Linked DNA regions of Drosophila melanogaster. The protein of the gene in region 2 purifies or fractionates together with the protein of the main gene of each other region. This does not show direct contact. Each region holds a gene or a part of one and is shown on either strand. Other genes may lie near its edges.

Evidence for each region.
Region 1: the proteins of Rab18 (region 2) and Echs1 purify together in Drosophila melanogaster (affinity purification with mass spectrometry, with the first as the bait; one large-scale study listed by BioGRID). This does not show direct contact.
Region 3: the proteins of Rab18 (region 2) and D2hgdh purify together in Drosophila melanogaster (affinity purification with mass spectrometry, with the first as the bait; one large-scale study listed by BioGRID). This does not show direct contact.
Region 4: the proteins of Rab18 (region 2) and CG15891 purify together in Drosophila melanogaster (affinity purification with mass spectrometry, with the first as the bait; one large-scale study listed by BioGRID). This does not show direct contact.

The regions. Positions count from the first base shown.
Region 1 is NT_033778.4:13,852,385-13,856,108, reverse strand, and holds Echs1 (Enoyl-CoA hydratase, short chain 1), read left to right. Parts: upstream 1-1,777; 5' UTR 1,778-1,910; coding exon 1,911-2,007; intron 2,008-2,203; coding exon 2,204-2,928; intron 2,929-2,993; coding exon 2,994-3,059; 3' UTR 3,060-3,162; downstream 3,163-3,724. Other genes in the region: CG6553 (uncharacterized protein), read left to right, coding at 357-1,134, 1,191-1,372; CG30485 (uncharacterized protein), read right to left, coding at 3,291-3,724.
Region 2 is NC_004354.4:5,670,282-5,673,705, forward strand, and holds Rab18 (Rab18), read right to left. Parts: upstream 1,532-3,424; 5' UTR 1,381-1,531; coding exon 1,322-1,380; intron 1,233-1,321; coding exon 800-1,232; intron 736-799; coding exon 634-735; 3' UTR 546-633; downstream 1-545. Other genes in the region: RpL35 (ribosomal protein L35), read left to right, coding at 2,239-2,241, 2,717-2,853, 2,936-3,167.
Region 3 is NC_004354.4:2,139,730-2,145,439, reverse strand, and holds D2hgdh (D-2-hydroxyglutaric acid dehydrogenase), read right to left. Parts: upstream 3,952-5,710; 5' UTR 3,834-3,951; intron 3,542-3,833; 5' UTR 3,438-3,541; intron 2,754-3,437; exon of another isoform or gene 2,511-2,753; intron 2,449-2,510; 5' UTR 2,384-2,448; coding exon 2,192-2,383; intron 2,130-2,191; coding exon 1,988-2,129; intron 1,914-1,987; coding exon 1,220-1,913; intron 1,154-1,219; coding exon 580-1,153; 3' UTR 503-579; downstream 1-502. Other genes in the region: Pgd (phosphogluconate dehydrogenase), read right to left, coding at 26-33.
Region 4 is NC_004354.4:6,293,987-6,297,348, forward strand, and holds CG15891 (uncharacterized protein), read right to left. Parts: upstream 1,360-3,362; 5' UTR 1,068-1,359; coding exon 618-1,067; 3' UTR 531-617; downstream 1-530. Other genes in the region: CG15892 (uncharacterized protein), read right to left, coding at 1-152; CG3815 (uncharacterized protein), read left to right, coding at 1,520-1,567, 1,724-1,914, 1,978-2,662, 2,723-3,362.

The DNA.
Region 1 (3,724 bases), on a different chromosome or scaffold from region 2:
TTAGTGAACTTACTTTTTTATATTCTTGATGGCAAATTATTGGAGGCATGTTAGTAACCAAAAGTATATTAAACATTTCCGGATTTGGATTTGGAAACGGGAATGTTTCGCCACAAAACGTGCATCACAACTAATGGCAAACTCGATACAACTTTGGAATATCCCTTTGATAGGATTATCTAAAAACGTGATAAGCTCGGTCATTGAAAATACTGACTGCCGCTCAGAAAACCCCATGACTGATAATTGTGCACAGCTAGAGCCGTATCATCATCAAACTGGTTTGGACAACTCTCGTAATAATACCCTTAACTGCGCCATGGAACCGTCAGTCTGTCGATTGGAACCCATTTAGAATGTTCGGAGCGCATCAGAATCTCTCAATTCAGCTGGTGATTTTTCTCTCCTTAGCCGTCACCATTTGCTTGGGATCCCAAAATGCCACAAGCTGCGGGCATCGCTGTGGAGGAGGCGACTGTATCCAACTGGACCAGCTGTGCGATGGGAGCGCCAACTGCTTGGATGGTTCCGATGAGACGGTCGCCATGTGTGAGAAGGTCTGGTGTCCGGGTTATGCATTTCGCTGCAGCTACGGTGCGTGCATAGCCAGCACAGCGGTTTGCGATGGCGTCCAGGACTGCGTGGATGGTTCGGATGAGCAGGGTTGGCTGTGCCGGGCGCAGATGCAGCAGGCTAACTGCGACAACTGGGAAATGTACTGCTCCTCTGGCCAATGCATGACCTATTCCAAATTGTGTGATGGCATCCGTGACTGCCGAGATGGAGACGATGAGCTGGAGTCCCTTTGCGAGGGCGTTACCATACCAACGACTACAGTCAGTTCAACGACAAGTACAACTACGGAAAGTAGTATCCATAGGATAACTCCCACTGTTCCTGTAACAAGGAAGGCGTCACGACCAAATCCTCTTCAGGAGAACGGGGAGTGCGTGGTTCCCCAACTGCCAAACGTTATGGTTAAGCACTTCACAGATGCAATCCTCACTGTAGGATCAAGGGTAGCCAATGGCACCCGTATCTACTACGACTGCCCGGCGGAGCACAGACTGAAAGGCGAGAACCAGAACATTTGCCAGGACGCATTGTGGGCTAGGAAGTTTCCTTACTGTGAAAGTAAGTTGTGTATTTATCAAAAGTTTCTTCATTAATACTAATTTATTTACTTTTAGCACCCCAAGCGTATGTTTTCAGCTTGGTTATAGTAATATTCTGCTTCCTAATCGTGGTATTGGTGTTTCTAATTTGGCGGGTGCGTCGAGAAAATGGCTCAAGAAGGCAACGAGAGGAGCACATTTGGCTGGTGGAGACCAGCAGTAATCTTCCCCAGACATCTTCAATACCAAAGGTCTAGGAATTAATTTTTACAAAGCTAAACATGTGATCACGCATACTTACTTATTTACCAGCCAAGTTGTTGATAAAAAGTACTGTTAATTTCAAACTATCTAGGCTTATCTTATGTAAATAATGTTATTTCAAGTTCTCCATAAAAATTAAAAGCTTAAATACGAATGTATATTTATTTTTAGAGTAAAACGTGAGAAGTAGTATTATATTGTAAATATATTAAAACAGATTTAAGAACATAATAATTGTGTTATTAGGTTGCACATTTTAATTTCGGCTGTTAACAATACTTTTGCGTTAACAGCTGTAATGCTAGAACCACTTGTTGCTGCGACCCAAACTGTGACTGAAACAGTGACTGGAAATAGTGGCATTTCTGGTGGGAGCGAACGCGGTCACACCTGCCCCACTAGTGCGCCAATATTGCTCCAGTGCTTCGCAGCGTAAGTATCCCAAGTTCTAGAGTGGCTCCATGCCAGATACCGCCACAGATTAGATAACGAATTGCACTTGCAGCCGGCTCAGAGTTCCTTCAATTGAAAATGGCCAACATTGCTAAGATCTTCGCTAGCCGCGCCCAGTGCGTCCTGCAGGCAGCCGCCCGTCAGCCACAGGTGGCCACCCGTTTCAGCAGCTCCTGTAAGTAGATGGTTGATTGCGAGGGATCAAAGTCCACGCGATTGATGCCCAGCTCCAACCTAAGCCGGAATATCAAGATATCAAGTGCCGCCGGTTTCTTGGCGACATCTTTTGTACTTTTCCAGGCAAATAAACATTGATTGCGTAACATTCGCGCACATACGATCACCTCATTTATGATGCCATCTCTTTTCAGCCACCAACAACAACTGGGAGTACATCAAGACCGAAGTGGCCGGCGAGGGCAAGAACGTAGGCGTGATCACCCTGAACCGCCCCAAGGCCCTGAATGCCCTCTGCAATGGCCTGATGAAGGAGCTGTCCACCGCATTGCAGCAATTCAGCAAGGATAAGACCATCTCCGCCATCGTTTTGACGGGCAGCGAGAAGGCCTTCGCCGCTGGCGCTGATATTAAGGAGATGGTGGGCAACACCTACTCGCAGTGCATCCAGGGCAACTTCTTGAACGACTGGACAGAGGTGGCCCGCACCCAGAAGCCCATCATTGCTGCCGTGAATGGTTACGCCTTGGGCGGTGGCTGTGAGCTGGCCATGATGTGCGACATCATATATGCCGGTGACAAGGCCAAGTTTGGTCAGCCTGAAATTGCCCTGGGCACCATTCCCGGTGCCGGTGGCACCCAGCGTCTGACCCGCGTCGTTGGCAAGTCCAAGGCCATGGAAATGTGCCTCACCGGCAATATGATCGGCGCCCAGGAGGCTGAGAAGCTGGGTCTGGCCAGCAAGGTGGTGCCCGCCGACCAGTTATTGGGCGAGGCCGTCAAGCTGGGCGAGAAGATCGGCACCCACTCCAATCTGATCGTGCAGCTGTGCAAGGAGGCGGTTAACACGGCTTACGAGACCACTCTCCAAGAGGGCCTGAAGTTCGAGCGTCGCACCTTCCATGCCACGTTCTCCACGGTTAGTTCAAGTTTAAATATCTGCTTAACACTATTTAATCTCTTGTATTTTCTTTCATCCAATAGGCCGATCGCAAGGAGGGCATGACCGCTTTCGCCGAGAAGCGCCCTGCCAAGTTTACCAACGAGTAAATACTACCCTAATCAATCCCAGCCAGCTTTGCATTTATATTATCTAAAAGAAAAACTGTTGTTTCTACGCAATTAAAACTTTAATCGTGATAATTTGAAAATGAACAATTTACCATAATTTGTCATTAGTATATGAGGTATGCTAGTCCGCATGTCAGGTGGTAATCCATTAGTATAAACATGGTATGGCCACTTGACAGTCGGCTTGCTAGCCCGATTATCCTCCTATTTCTAATCGAAACAAAATAAGTGCTTAGGTGACTTCCATGGTTGTGTCTTGTTGCTTTCGAGTTTGGAAGGCATGTTTTTTGGAAAATTGTGCGCTGTGTAGCGTTGCCTTCGTGAAGAATATTCAATCTCATGGAAATCTATACCTCCCCGTATCCTTCTCGAGCCATGTGGATTTTTATAGTGCCTGGAGGCATCGGAGTCATCGCAACAACGAGCTAAATGTCGATAATTTCGTGACCGTGAGTAGTTCTTATCCCTGTGCATGGGACAATGTTCTGTAAATCGGAAACGATTCCCCTTTGGTTCAATCACACAGGGATCACTTAGTTCGGTGGTAAACTCGTAGTTTCGATATGTAACCAATCCTCGACGTATGCCCGGATTTTGTGACTCAGTTGGCCGTGAGGTGAGCAAGTAATCTGTGCACGGCCTGC
Region 2 (3,424 bases):
ACAAAAATGTACATAAGGGGCGTGCTCCGGGAATTGTTGCGGCCAAATGTCCAGCTTTGTTTTCTAAGCATCCGTCGCGTGCAAGGGATTTACAAGAAATTGATGAATAGCGAGCGAGCCAATCGTGAAGAACAGCTTCATTGATTTCTAAATCCACCTTGTTAGCGTTAATTAATAAATATTAATCATCGATAATTGTAAATATAAACCGAACTCACTTATAAATTTACACCACCAGATGCAATAGAAATAAAAAAAATCGCATAGCCCATGTACATTTCAGTTGGTCACTAATCCAATTCTCCACTTTATTTGTTGCGTTTGTGAACGCAAATGGAAAACTATCATCATGTCAATAAAATAATGAAAAGAAAATGCTGAACTTGACTTTTGACTGGTCGCAGACGAAATGCAAGCAGATGGACAATAAGCCGTACAGGAATATTAGAAGGATAGAATTTAAAAAGGATTCTGACTGATCTGCAAACCCTGCAAGCTAAGTGAATCGATAGCCCTGCTCAGATTGGAGTACACGATTGAACGTTAAGGTTGATTGACTTTATGCTAGTGATATTGAAACGATTAAATAAATACACGATATAAATTTGACAAAAGCACGCATAACATTCGAAATCAACAGTAACACGTAGACGCGCTTGCCTCCAGATCCCGATCGCTGGCGATGTCCAGACCGGCGGAGGCATTGCCATTGTTGAAGTATTCGGAGGAGACGATCTGCAAAGCGGATGTGGATAATTGGAAACACGAATGCCAAGTATTTGGTTGGTAGCTAGCTCACCTTCTCCACCACATCTTTGAACACATCGCTGACGAACTGATCGCATTTGGCTGAGGTCTCGATGAAGAGCGCCCTGTGCTTCCTGGCAAACTTTCGACCCTCCTCGCGATCCACAACTCGCTCCTCGTCGATCTTGTTGCCTACCACAATGATGGCAATGTTGGGATTGTCGCTGTAGCTATCCAGTTCAGCCAGCCAGGTTTCCAGCTTGACCAGGCTGTCCCTGCTGGTGATGTCGTACACTAGAATGGCGCCCAGAGCCTTCCGATAGAAACTGGGCGTCAGGCTGCGGAATCTCTCGGCGCCCGCCGTATCCCACAGGGCCACCTTGTAGTCTATGCCGTCCACCTGCATCACTTTGCTCTTGAAGTCCATGCCAATCGTGACGTCATGGTTCTGGTCGAACTTGTTCTCCACGAAGCGACGTATCAAACTATGATGAAATGATAATGAAAGTTGATGAGTGATGCAAGCTTTTGGTAATATACGCAGTGGAATTGCTCCATGGACTTGGGACTGCACCTGGACTTGCCCACGCCGCTTTCCCCGATCACCAGCAGCTTGATAGCCCGATCAGCCATTGTGTGGTTTGAGCTCCGCTTAATGCTTATCACTACTGTTATTTACTTAAAACGATAAGAATATTGCCAATTGTATTATTTATGTAGATTATCTGGAGTAAGTGAGTGCGGCGTTGCCACCTTGCTGCTTTGTTTACATTCTCACGATAGAGATGGACCACTGTAACAGCAGCCTTGCCAGACCGCCACTTCGATCTAGTGGTGACCTGTGGCCGTAATCTGGCTACTTTTTTGCACACACATTTAGCTTCTTAAAATAATTTAATTCCACCCTTTTAACAAAACCGATCGGGTCTTGACTTAGGAGGACTAACTATATTTAAAAAAATAATTCTGTTGTTACTACCATAATAAACGCGCAATGAAAACTAAAACACGTTAAGCAGATCAAATTTTGTTGCCACATAGGTAACAGTGCGTTCCTTATATTGTTGTATAAAAATTAATTAAAAAAAAAAAATTAATTATAAAAAATAATTATAAAATATCATAAATTTAGGATTCCTTCTGCGCTCAAAATAGTTGGTGTTATAATTATTTTATATAAACGTTTAAATTATATAAGAAATAATTTTCCTCGAAAAATAATTCCGAAACGCGTAATGTCTTAATTTTATAGCTCTCTAAAATGGTATTATTTAGCTTTTCATTGGCATTAGCAAAATAAAAAAGTAAATATTGTGATTGAATATTTTTGCAATCGTAGTAATTTGATTTATCTATTTTAATGACGGACTCGGAACCGGTTCGATATCAGCGTTGCCACTGGTTCGACGCTCGAAGTTACAATAGTGCCACCACCAACTAGTTCTTTCCTCCAAGTCCCATCTTTCTTTTTTGACGTGACCAGCGAGAAAAATGGTTGGTATTTTGTGAGCGAAAAGATTTCTAACCTATTTTACAACGAAACGAACAATTAAAAGCCAAAGTAATGGCTAAAACGCGCCCCAAATTACTGCCGTTCATGGTGTTAACACAAAATGCGATTAATAATGCAGTACCACGCTAGTTGAGACGCGCAACGCTAGCACACTATTTTGTGCTCACCCCTAGCACCTCTGCTTCTTCTTCTTTCCTTTTCTTTTCGCCGCGTTTCCGGAGAGGTTGCGTTAAGCCACGTGCTGAATTTCTTAATTTGCTGGTTTAGTGAATACGGAAAATTCGTTGGTTTTTTTGTTCTGTGCTGAGTGTTAAAGAGCAGAGCTAGAAAAATGGTTGGTTGGTTACACCCATCGACACCCGATGCTCTCAGCCCAAGGGCCAATGAACATGCCATTTGCAGTGCAGCGATACTAATGTTCTTGTTTTCTGCCCGTTTGTTTGTGCTCCCGTCCAGGTGAAGGTTAAGTGCTCCGAGCTGAGGATCAAGGACAAGAAGGAACTCACCAAGCAATTGGATGAGCTCAAGAATGAGTTGCTCAGCCTGCGCGTGGCCAAGGTGACCGGCGGAGCTCCCTCCAAGCTCTCCAAGATGTGAGTATGCCGCGGCACAACGACAAGCGTCACGAACTAATTCCGGTGTTTTGTGCATTTATGTGCGTTCTTATCCATACAGCCGCGTTGTCCGCAAGGCCATCGCTCGCGTCTACATTGTGATGCACCAGAAGCAGAAGGAGAATCTGCGCAAGGTCTTCAAGAACAAGAAGTACAAGCCCCTGGATCTGCGCAAGAAGAAGACCCGCGCTATCCGCAAGGCCCTGTCTCCGCGCGACGCCAACCGCAAGACCCTCAAGGAGATCCGCAAGCGCTCCGTCTTCCCCCAGAGGAAGTTCGCCGTCAAGGCCTAGAATGCATCCAGATACTCCGACTGTCTATAGTGCGCGTTAAGGGTTCTTCGGTACAATGAAGAAGAAAAACTAAATAAAATCTTTTTTTTAAAGTGAAAATAGCGATGCGTGTTTGATTTTGTGACCGAAAAAACGCGAGTGGCACATGGCTTTGGCCATGGGTTCATGGAAATTAGTTAAAAAACAAAAAAACAAGTGCCGCATTCCCTGTTCTACATATGTTAGTCGGATCCAATGGGATCTACTTAACTACTTGT
Region 3 (5,710 bases), 3.5 Mb from region 2:
GAAAAGAGAATTTCCCTCTACTCACCCGCTCATGTTTCGTGTGTTCTTTGTGGTTTGTGCTCCAACAATGATTTGAGCTTCTAATGTTACAATCTATATATGGCACTGTTAAGCGGCAGCTCGTCGATCGATAGTCGCGCCACAATGTTAGCTATCGATAAGTGCAGAAAAGCTCCACTCGCGAAGCTTTCGCAGGGCGGCAGTTTGACTTTGAACTTCGGAGTTTGAAGCTATCGCCGATCCTTGACCAATTACTGCCGGTTGGTGCTAATTTTGTGAGTGGACTCTAATGAGTACTGCTACTAAATATAGTGCTTCGTAGTGTAACAGTAAATGCAAAGATAGTGTTTTTTCTATTATTACCTCCGAGTACCTATAATGTGGTACTGTAAAAACTGGTATATACTATTTTTTCGGACTATTTTATAAGTAAGTTTTGCCCATTGGTTTCGTGCCAAATATGATGGTCCTTTTTAACTTCACAAGTTAACAAAATTCACTTCTAATGCCATTTCTGTATTATAAGGTTATGAAAATTACACACAAACAAAAAAAATAGAATCTATTAGGTAGAAGCCTTCAGTTAAGCACCTTATAGGGATTGAGGATGCTGTTGGGGTCCAGCAGCTTCTTCATCTCGCGCATGTAGCCAATGGCCACCGGGTCCTTGGAGTAGTGCAGGTAGTCCTTCTTCAGGAAGCCAATGCCGTGCTCCGCACTAATGCTGCCCTTCAGCTTGGAGGTGTACTCGTAGACGAAGGGTTCGACCCGCTTGTAGATCTCGCCGTTAAACTCCTCGCAGGAGACGTTCAGGTGCAGATTAGAGTCCCCCAGATGGCCGTATCCGCAGACAACTGTGGCCAGGGGACCGCACCTCTCTCGCATCACGTCCACAATGTTGTAGAAGTCCCGCAGAGGCAGCGAGATGTCGTACTTGAAGCAGAAGCTCTTCTCGATCAGACCCAGCGGCACCATTTCGCGGATCTTCCAGATCTCCTGCACCTTGCCGGGATCACCGGTTACGGTGCCATCCTGGATCTCGCCACGCTCCATACCGTCCCCAATGAACTGGTTGATCTTCTCCTCGTCGTGGTCACCGTTGCTGCCCGAGGTCTCGATGAGCATGTAGAAGGGAAATCCCGAAATGGGGGAGCTATGGGAAATAAGTTTGTGAACAGGATTGGTAACGCTCAGAGAAGACAAAGGTGGCGCAACTCACTTCAGGAACTTGAACTGCTCGAGGGCGGTGTTCAAGGCCCGCTCGTCAATCAGCTCGCAGGAGCTTAGAATCTCGCCCAGATTACGCTTGGCACTGACAAAAGTCTTCAGCACATCGTCGAAGGAGTTCAGGCCGATGAAGGCCACGTTCACCGCTCGCGAGGAATGGGGGCAGAGCATCGAAAGCTTCGTGACCACGCCCAGAGTGCCCTCGGATCCTATGAACAAGTGCTTCATGTGGTAGCCGGTGTTGTCCTTCTTGAAGTTGGACATAAGGTCCAGCACCTGACCGGTGGCCAGCACCGCCTCCACGCCCAAAACAGAGCCGTGCAGATTGCCGTAACGCACCACCCGCACTCCGCCCGCGTTTGTGGACACATTGCCCCCGATGTGGCAACTGGCCTTGGCGCCCAGGTCCAGTGGCACCGTCAAGCCCACCTCTCTGGCCCTCTGATCGAAGTTCTCCAGGATGCAGCCCGCCTCCACGACAGCAATGCCGGTGACCTCGTCCACGGATAACACCTTGTTCAGGCGCGCTAGAGAAAGGACAATCTCGTCGCAGATCGGCACGGATCCGCCCACTAGACCTGTGTTCCCGCCCTGCGGCACCACCGCCAAACGACGCTCGTTGCAGTACTTCAGGATGGCGGCCACCTCCGCCGTGCTTCCGGGCTTAAGCACCAACTTGCTGTTGCCTGGTTGAAGCAATTCATCGGAGAAATTCATTAAAGGGCACACGAATGTGAATGAATTTGGTTACACAACCTACCTCGAATCCTCTTAAGGAAGCAGATGTTGTATCCCTCCAGGTCCTCAGTGAGCACGAAGTTCTTGCCCAGGAGCTGCTCGAAATGCGCCACATCCTTGTCGGTCAGAGTGGCGTAGTTGCCGCGCTGCACGTTGTCGGTGATCTGAAATGTGGGTTGCATCAGTTGCATCTCCGCTGCGGACAACTCGCCACAGGAACACCTACCTCTGTGAGCTCCGGGATCGGAGCCCCGCTGCCCGCCATTGTGCGCACAGTGGTTGCGAAAGCGGGGTAGGTGGCTGCCAGGGCGGTGCGACTGGTGGTGGTGATGGTGGTGGTGGTGATAGGCCGCCTCATCAAGGTGGTGGCCCCGGCGCTGGCCAATCTGCGCACATGCAGGAGCTGTTGGAATCTCATCGTGGAGGATGGTTGCGGAAAGGGCTTCGAGTTTATCTGTTATATGCCGCAACTGTTATATGTCTCTGAAATGGGCAATGGGATGAGTACACTGTGGAATACCTTTGGGCCATACAAAATTCGTTACTTTATATTAAGCGTTAGGATGCATAAAAAGCGAAGTTATTATTATTATGGAACGGCTCGATAAGCCGACTCTCTTTGTTTAGACACAATGGCAGACTGCCGGACTTCCCCGGAGCACTAGGATGCTTATCACGTTATCACACCAACATTCATCCACTCGAGGGGGGTGTGGACGCAATCTTCTCCTCACCACGGGCCGTATCGCACTGATAGCAGGGACACCAGGAAACCGAACTTTTCCACTAGACCTCTCGGGCTCTAGGTATATCACTATATATGGCGACGTTATCAGCCCCTCCGACTCTGCGCGTGCATGCGAAATTAGCATATTTATTATGGACCACGCACACACACACTCGCACACACGCACACCGCAGCACGGTCTAGATTTGGTCTGGTTTGAAAAGTGCAATCCACGGTCCGTGGAGTCAAGATCTTTATGAGTCCACACAGATTATTGCCGGCAGGTAGATAGATCCCTACACAGAAACGGTCATAAAGCAATTTGGCTCGGGGCCAGATTGGAAGAGATACAGATTCGGATTCGGATACGGATACGGGTACGGGTATATGCATGGATAGATATGCCTGGAGGATTTGCACCACCCGGTTACGGTGGATTAGCCTTCGTGCAAAAATGTATTTGTATTTTGCAACGAACAATATTTCATGTTATGTACATATTTAAGACCAGTAGGCATTAAATTCACTATTGCAATTGTTATATAATCTGGAGCTGCACATACGCAATTTGTTAATTTTCACAGGAGTATTTATAACACCTCCTTCTGTCTATCTCTTACATATTTAAGTTAAGTACTTAATATAAATACTTTAAGTATAATGCATATATGAATATAGTCTTTTAGCGGGTTAATAGCAGTGCCCATCCCTCGTAATCATTATTGAGATCTATGTTTATTCTCACTCGCTCTCTCTTGCTCTGTATTTTTGTCGTTTTGTTTCATTACGTCAAAAAATTCGAGCTTTTGTGTATGTGTGTGTGTGGGGGCGGGTGCGAACGCGTGTTGTCTGTAAACAAGCGAGACAAACAGAAACACTGGGTTAACAGGTAGCTGATAAGCGCGAAAACAATATCAGCATCTGCATACATATATAAACCGGTTGTGAAACGAATATCAGATGTGTCACTGCAGTTACTAAAGGGATTAATTAGGATCCTCATTCACTAACACACGACAAGTAACCGGGAATGGGAGAGCCTCACGCGCCAGAATCTCTCAATGGAAAATTGAAAAACCGAAAGAGAAACTAACGCAGAAGCACTCAAAAGCATGTTGATCGGAACACCAACTGAACTTACAATGTTTATGTACGGATGGATGGGGGTCACGTCGAGGTCCGGCTACTCCTTTCATCCATAAGTCAGTGATGTCCTTCAGAGCAGCGTCCAACCCGGAATCACAACAAACCGCAACTAAAATTCGAAACGCAAAACAGGGGCAGATTAGCGTTAGTTAAGAGATACGATAGGCGCCAAACACCCCCCCCCCCCCCTCCATCAAAGAATTCAAAATGATCACGGAGCGAAAGCTCCCCAGGAGAGAGAGCGAACTGAGCTTTCAGAGCGAAAGCGAGTGAGTGAGCACACCACAGCGGCGTTGTAGAAATTTCAACAGTTCATATTGGGGATCGATTTGTGTTTTACTGTTTCTGTTTACCACTTCTTTATGGATTCGTGAACGGGAAATAACACAATATACTAATACAAAATTTTTTGTTTTTTGGGATGTTTTTTCTATAATTCAATTACTTCTAATAACCGCAAACAAAATCTTAATGCTTTGGGAAATCAAATTGATAAATCTCTGTTTACCTATTGGAATTTGTTATCAACAATTACCATTTACTATTATTATTACTTCTGTGTTTTATTTATGCCTTAGTTGCTTTTCAAAATATAGCTAGCTGCATTGCAAATTCACTGTGTAGAAATGAAAGTCTTAACATCTTTTATATAAAGAGATTATATAAACCGCTAGAATTAGTTTTAAATTTAAGCATATTTAATACATATTTTTATACCGTTTATTCCTAAAATTGCAAACTTGTAATCAAAACCAGTACGGATATCACCTCGCATAACAACTGTTATACAGCCACTTTAATTCACCACACATGCGTTAGCCACGCCCACTGAACCACTAAACATTTAGCTTGTCTCTGTCCTATTCTTCTCCGCAGGCGGCACAATGGTGCTATCTCTTTTGCACCCCATAAAAAACCTTTTCCGGTGGTGCGCCCATTTTTTATTCGCTTCGATCTTCCGTCGGCATTTTGTACTGCCAATTAGCAGCGACTTCTACAATTCAATCAACTTTGTTATTGTACCCAAAGAAAAATGGAGAAGATAACATTCTCATACACTTGTACCTGTTTCGCAACTCGTGAGTTGACTCCAATAATTGCTTCTTGGGTATCGATAAAGTCCCAATAACGATTGCTAATAACTTAAAATTTATAGCTTACAATCATGGAGTTCAATATTTAATTTTGTATCTCATGTTGGGTATGTTTTGATTAATTTGTGTGTCTCCATACCGAAAGGTATTAAGTTAAATGTCTATTGTTCTGTTTAGGATTAGTAAACACTTTCATTTTCCTTACCAGTAAAATTTTCCTAAAACCAGTAATTTAGTTCAGTTATTATGACAGTTTCTTAGGATTTTTCTTCAATACTTCTGAGTATCAAGGTGTGGATCCATTAAATTTAGAACTTCTGCCAAGTAAAACGGACTCTACCCACGCATGGAAATTATAAAATAACGCCAAGTGCTGCATTATATATATTGCAATTAAAACAATGGCAAGCGCAACCACACATCTCTGTTTGAAAATCGTTTGCAAATTTACAGACGGTGACAAAAATATAGGCATATTTTGAAAATGGAGTTATTGCGGTTTAATAGAATACATAAAGAGGACATGATTAGAAGACAATTGAAACGGCAAATAGTCCTATTTGGCTCCCCCTGCCATTTTCAATTCCTACGCTCGTTCACACCCCTAATGATCTTAGGGGTGGGATTACGTGTACACCCCTTGGGACATCAGAATGGATCCCCTTTTGAGGGTAATTGTATAATGTTTGTTTGGGAAATCGGTTTGTACAGGCCACGGAAAATGGTGGAAAGGGGTGGGTTGGTTCCAAAGGTCGCAAGTGTCACAGGAATCAACCCT
Region 4 (3,362 bases), 620 kb from region 2:
CGCCGCACATACAACTCCAGCTTGTCCAGTTCCTCCTCCCGCCGCTTCTTTACGTTCTCCTCTGCGCACACATCCGGATCCTCCTCCTCGGGCAGCGACTCCGTCGACGTGGGCATCGGCTCATCCCAATCCGAGACATTGGAGCTGGCCATGGCTGAAGAGTACTACACGGAACTGAACTAAACGAAACGAAACGGAACGGCTCGTCTCGGCTTGGTAAATTTGTACGTATTGGAAATTTAGCTTTGAACTTGGTTACTTATAAACACAAAATAATGTTTCGAAATCTTTTTTGTGTACGAAAAATTTGGGTAAACGGGAGCACTAACAATTTTATGTATTCACGCTGCGATAGTGGATCACCTTATGAGCAGTCCCAGTTGAAATGTGAGCGAGGTAAAACCAAAGGACTACTTGATAGTCAGAAAAGTTCTACATGTTTTCAAAGAAATGGAACATTAATTGTATGGCAACAAGATTAAGGAATTCCAATGACTCACACCACTAACAAGCAAAAGAGCACTGCATATGTGGTTTACAATTAAATAAGCAACGTTTTATTATATGTAATGTAATGTAATGTATGAATATTAACCAGTGGATCTATGGATCTAAAGCTAGTAACACTCGTTCTGCACGGATCGCTCCAGGGCGAAGGTGTACTCCTCGGCCAGCTCGTCCACGGACAATTGGCGCGTTAGTAGCGCCAATATGCTGTCCACCTGCATTTGGGTGCTGGTGTAGCGATCCTTGTTGGCCAATCCGGGTGCCAGCTCGAATGGAATGTCCTGCAAGTAATTGACGGGTCCTTGGGCTCCGGGCTGCTTCACTTGATCGCTGCGCGGTCCTGGCATCGGCGGATAGGGCAGATAGCCCGCTGGCGGCATAGGTGGATACATGGAGCCGGCTGGAACACCCGGATGAGGAGCATCCGGTACTGGTTTGCGCTCTATGAACACGAAATCATCGACACTGGTGCCTGGACGGGTTGCCTCCGCCGGTCCCTGGATGGGCTGGTCATCCGTGGGCGTTTCCGCGGGCTTGCGTTTGCCAAATATCGAAAACATTGCACTATTTTGTTCTATTGTTTGGTAAAATCAACTGGCAAATTGCGTCGTCCGCCAGCTGTGATGCTCTTTTAGCGGGCGTTGGTCCAAAACAGCGAGTGCTAGCTAGTGGTGTGCCCAAAAGATGTAAACATATAGGTGTCTATAGTGAGGTCTGAGCGAAATATGAGAATTTTGGGTATTTAATTTTTAACTATTTGTTTGCTTGGGTATTTTTCGGTTACGAATGTGTATACCCAATATAAACTTTATTAATTGCAAGTAGTTAGATTTGGAGTGAAATGCAGTCTGCACTGAATTTCCGTTAATCGCCTATCGGTGGGCGCGCAGTGTGGCCATTCGCTCGTCGGATGCGCAGGGCTGGACAACCGACACTGCGCCCGCCTCCGTCGCCAAGTGAAGTCGCTCCGAGATTGATTGTGTACACCGGATAAGAGGAGCGAGCGAAAAAGATGTCAAAATTGGACCAGGACCCGAACGCCTCACTGAGCATCATGGAGGTGAGTGTGCCGCCGGGACGCCATTCAGAGCTTCAGTGTGTCCACTGCCCGGAGCTCCAATTCCAATCGGCGGTGGCTACTCTAGAGCTGCCACATTAACGCATTCACAACTGTCTCCATTTCCCACATTTAACATAACTTTACTACTTCGCGCAGCAAATCAAGCAGCTCATCCGCCCGCCGCCCAACGAGGACGAGAAGATGATGCAGCGGTCCACCAACACGAAGCATCCGTACTACAGGCGCCCGGGCAGGGGCCACAACCACGACTATTGTGACGCCTGCGAGGAGGGCGGCAATCTGCTGTGCTGCGATCGATGCCCCTCCAGCTTCCACCTGCAATGCCAGTGAGTATATACACGCGCATATAGCTGCTCATTTTGAGTGCTGATTTCGTGCTTTCGCCACAGTGATCCACCGTTGAGCGAGGAGGACATACCCAGTGGCCAGTGGCTGTGCCACAGCTGTCGCATGAGCAAGCTCTCCCAGCCGCCGGCCTCCTCATCCAAGGCCAGTTCCGTGGAGCGTGTGCCTTCGGCGGGCAGTGGCTCACGGGCGAATACTCCATCGTCTGGCGATCTGGAGTCCATACCGCTGAAGATCCGCAACCTGCGCAAACGCAGCAACAGCGAACGCAATAGCACCGAGAAGCTGCTGGCCAAAATGCCGATGTCCATACAGCGCGCCCTCGATCCGAACAAGAAGCCAACGCCGCTGGACGATGTCATCAGGGCGGCCACCATGATGAATCCGCAGCAATTCTCGCTGCCGCCGGAGCTCGAGCTGCACACCCAGTTCCCGGGCAATGGCAAGGTGCAACCCGTACAGCAGACGCATCCGCCGAGCGGAAATGGCGGTAATCGCAGATGCGCCGGCAATCAGCGACGCAACTCCAAGCCGTTTGAGCTGGATGCCCAGGGACTGGTGCCGCTGCCCGCCAAAACCTGTTTCTACTGCACGCGCTCCTGCAAACGGGCGCCGCTCATCTCCTGCGACTACTGTCCGCTCTACTTTCACCAGGATTGCCTGGATCCGCCACTGACGGCACTGCCAGCTGGATTGTGGATGTGCCCCAATCATGCCGAGAATTTTATCGTAAGTCAGCCAACGCACATGGAGGTCTGCTTGGGTTCTAATGAGGATGTCTGTTCACAGGATGCCAATATGACCAATAGCATTTCGGCCACGGAGCGGGTGCGTCTCTGGAATCGCTTCCACCAGCCACTTGACCATGAAAATGTCAAGCTTGAGTTCTTCCGGCGTGTCAACACGCGCAATCCGCCCTTTCGCACCAAGAGAAATCTGCGTGCTCGCGCCCACATCGAGGTGCCAGCCATTGTGCGCTACCACTACGATCATCCGCCGCCGCTGTTGCCCTCCATGCGCCAAACGTTGCGCTACGATCGGGTAAAGCGGCGCAATAACCTGCCCACCGAAGTCGAGGAGATATCCCGTGAGTCGGTCACCGAATCGCTGCTCAAGGATCTGGAGGCCTTGCGCACGGCTCACGCCAAATTCCGTGAGATTCAGAGGGAATTCGGAACCTTGGAGACGGCCATAGATGGCGATAGCGACAGCGATCCCAGTCCTGAAGAGAAAAGGACCGAGACGAACACTCCCGCCGATAAAGTGAATGGCGAAGTGGATACGGAGAATCCCAATACAGAATCGAATGCGCAGGCCAGCGAACAGCCGTCGGTTGTCAAGGTGGAGTCCAAGACCAGCCTAGAGGTGGAGGCTAGCTTCGAGGAGGACGAGGAGGACAGCAAGAAATCAACGGGTATTATCGATGCAG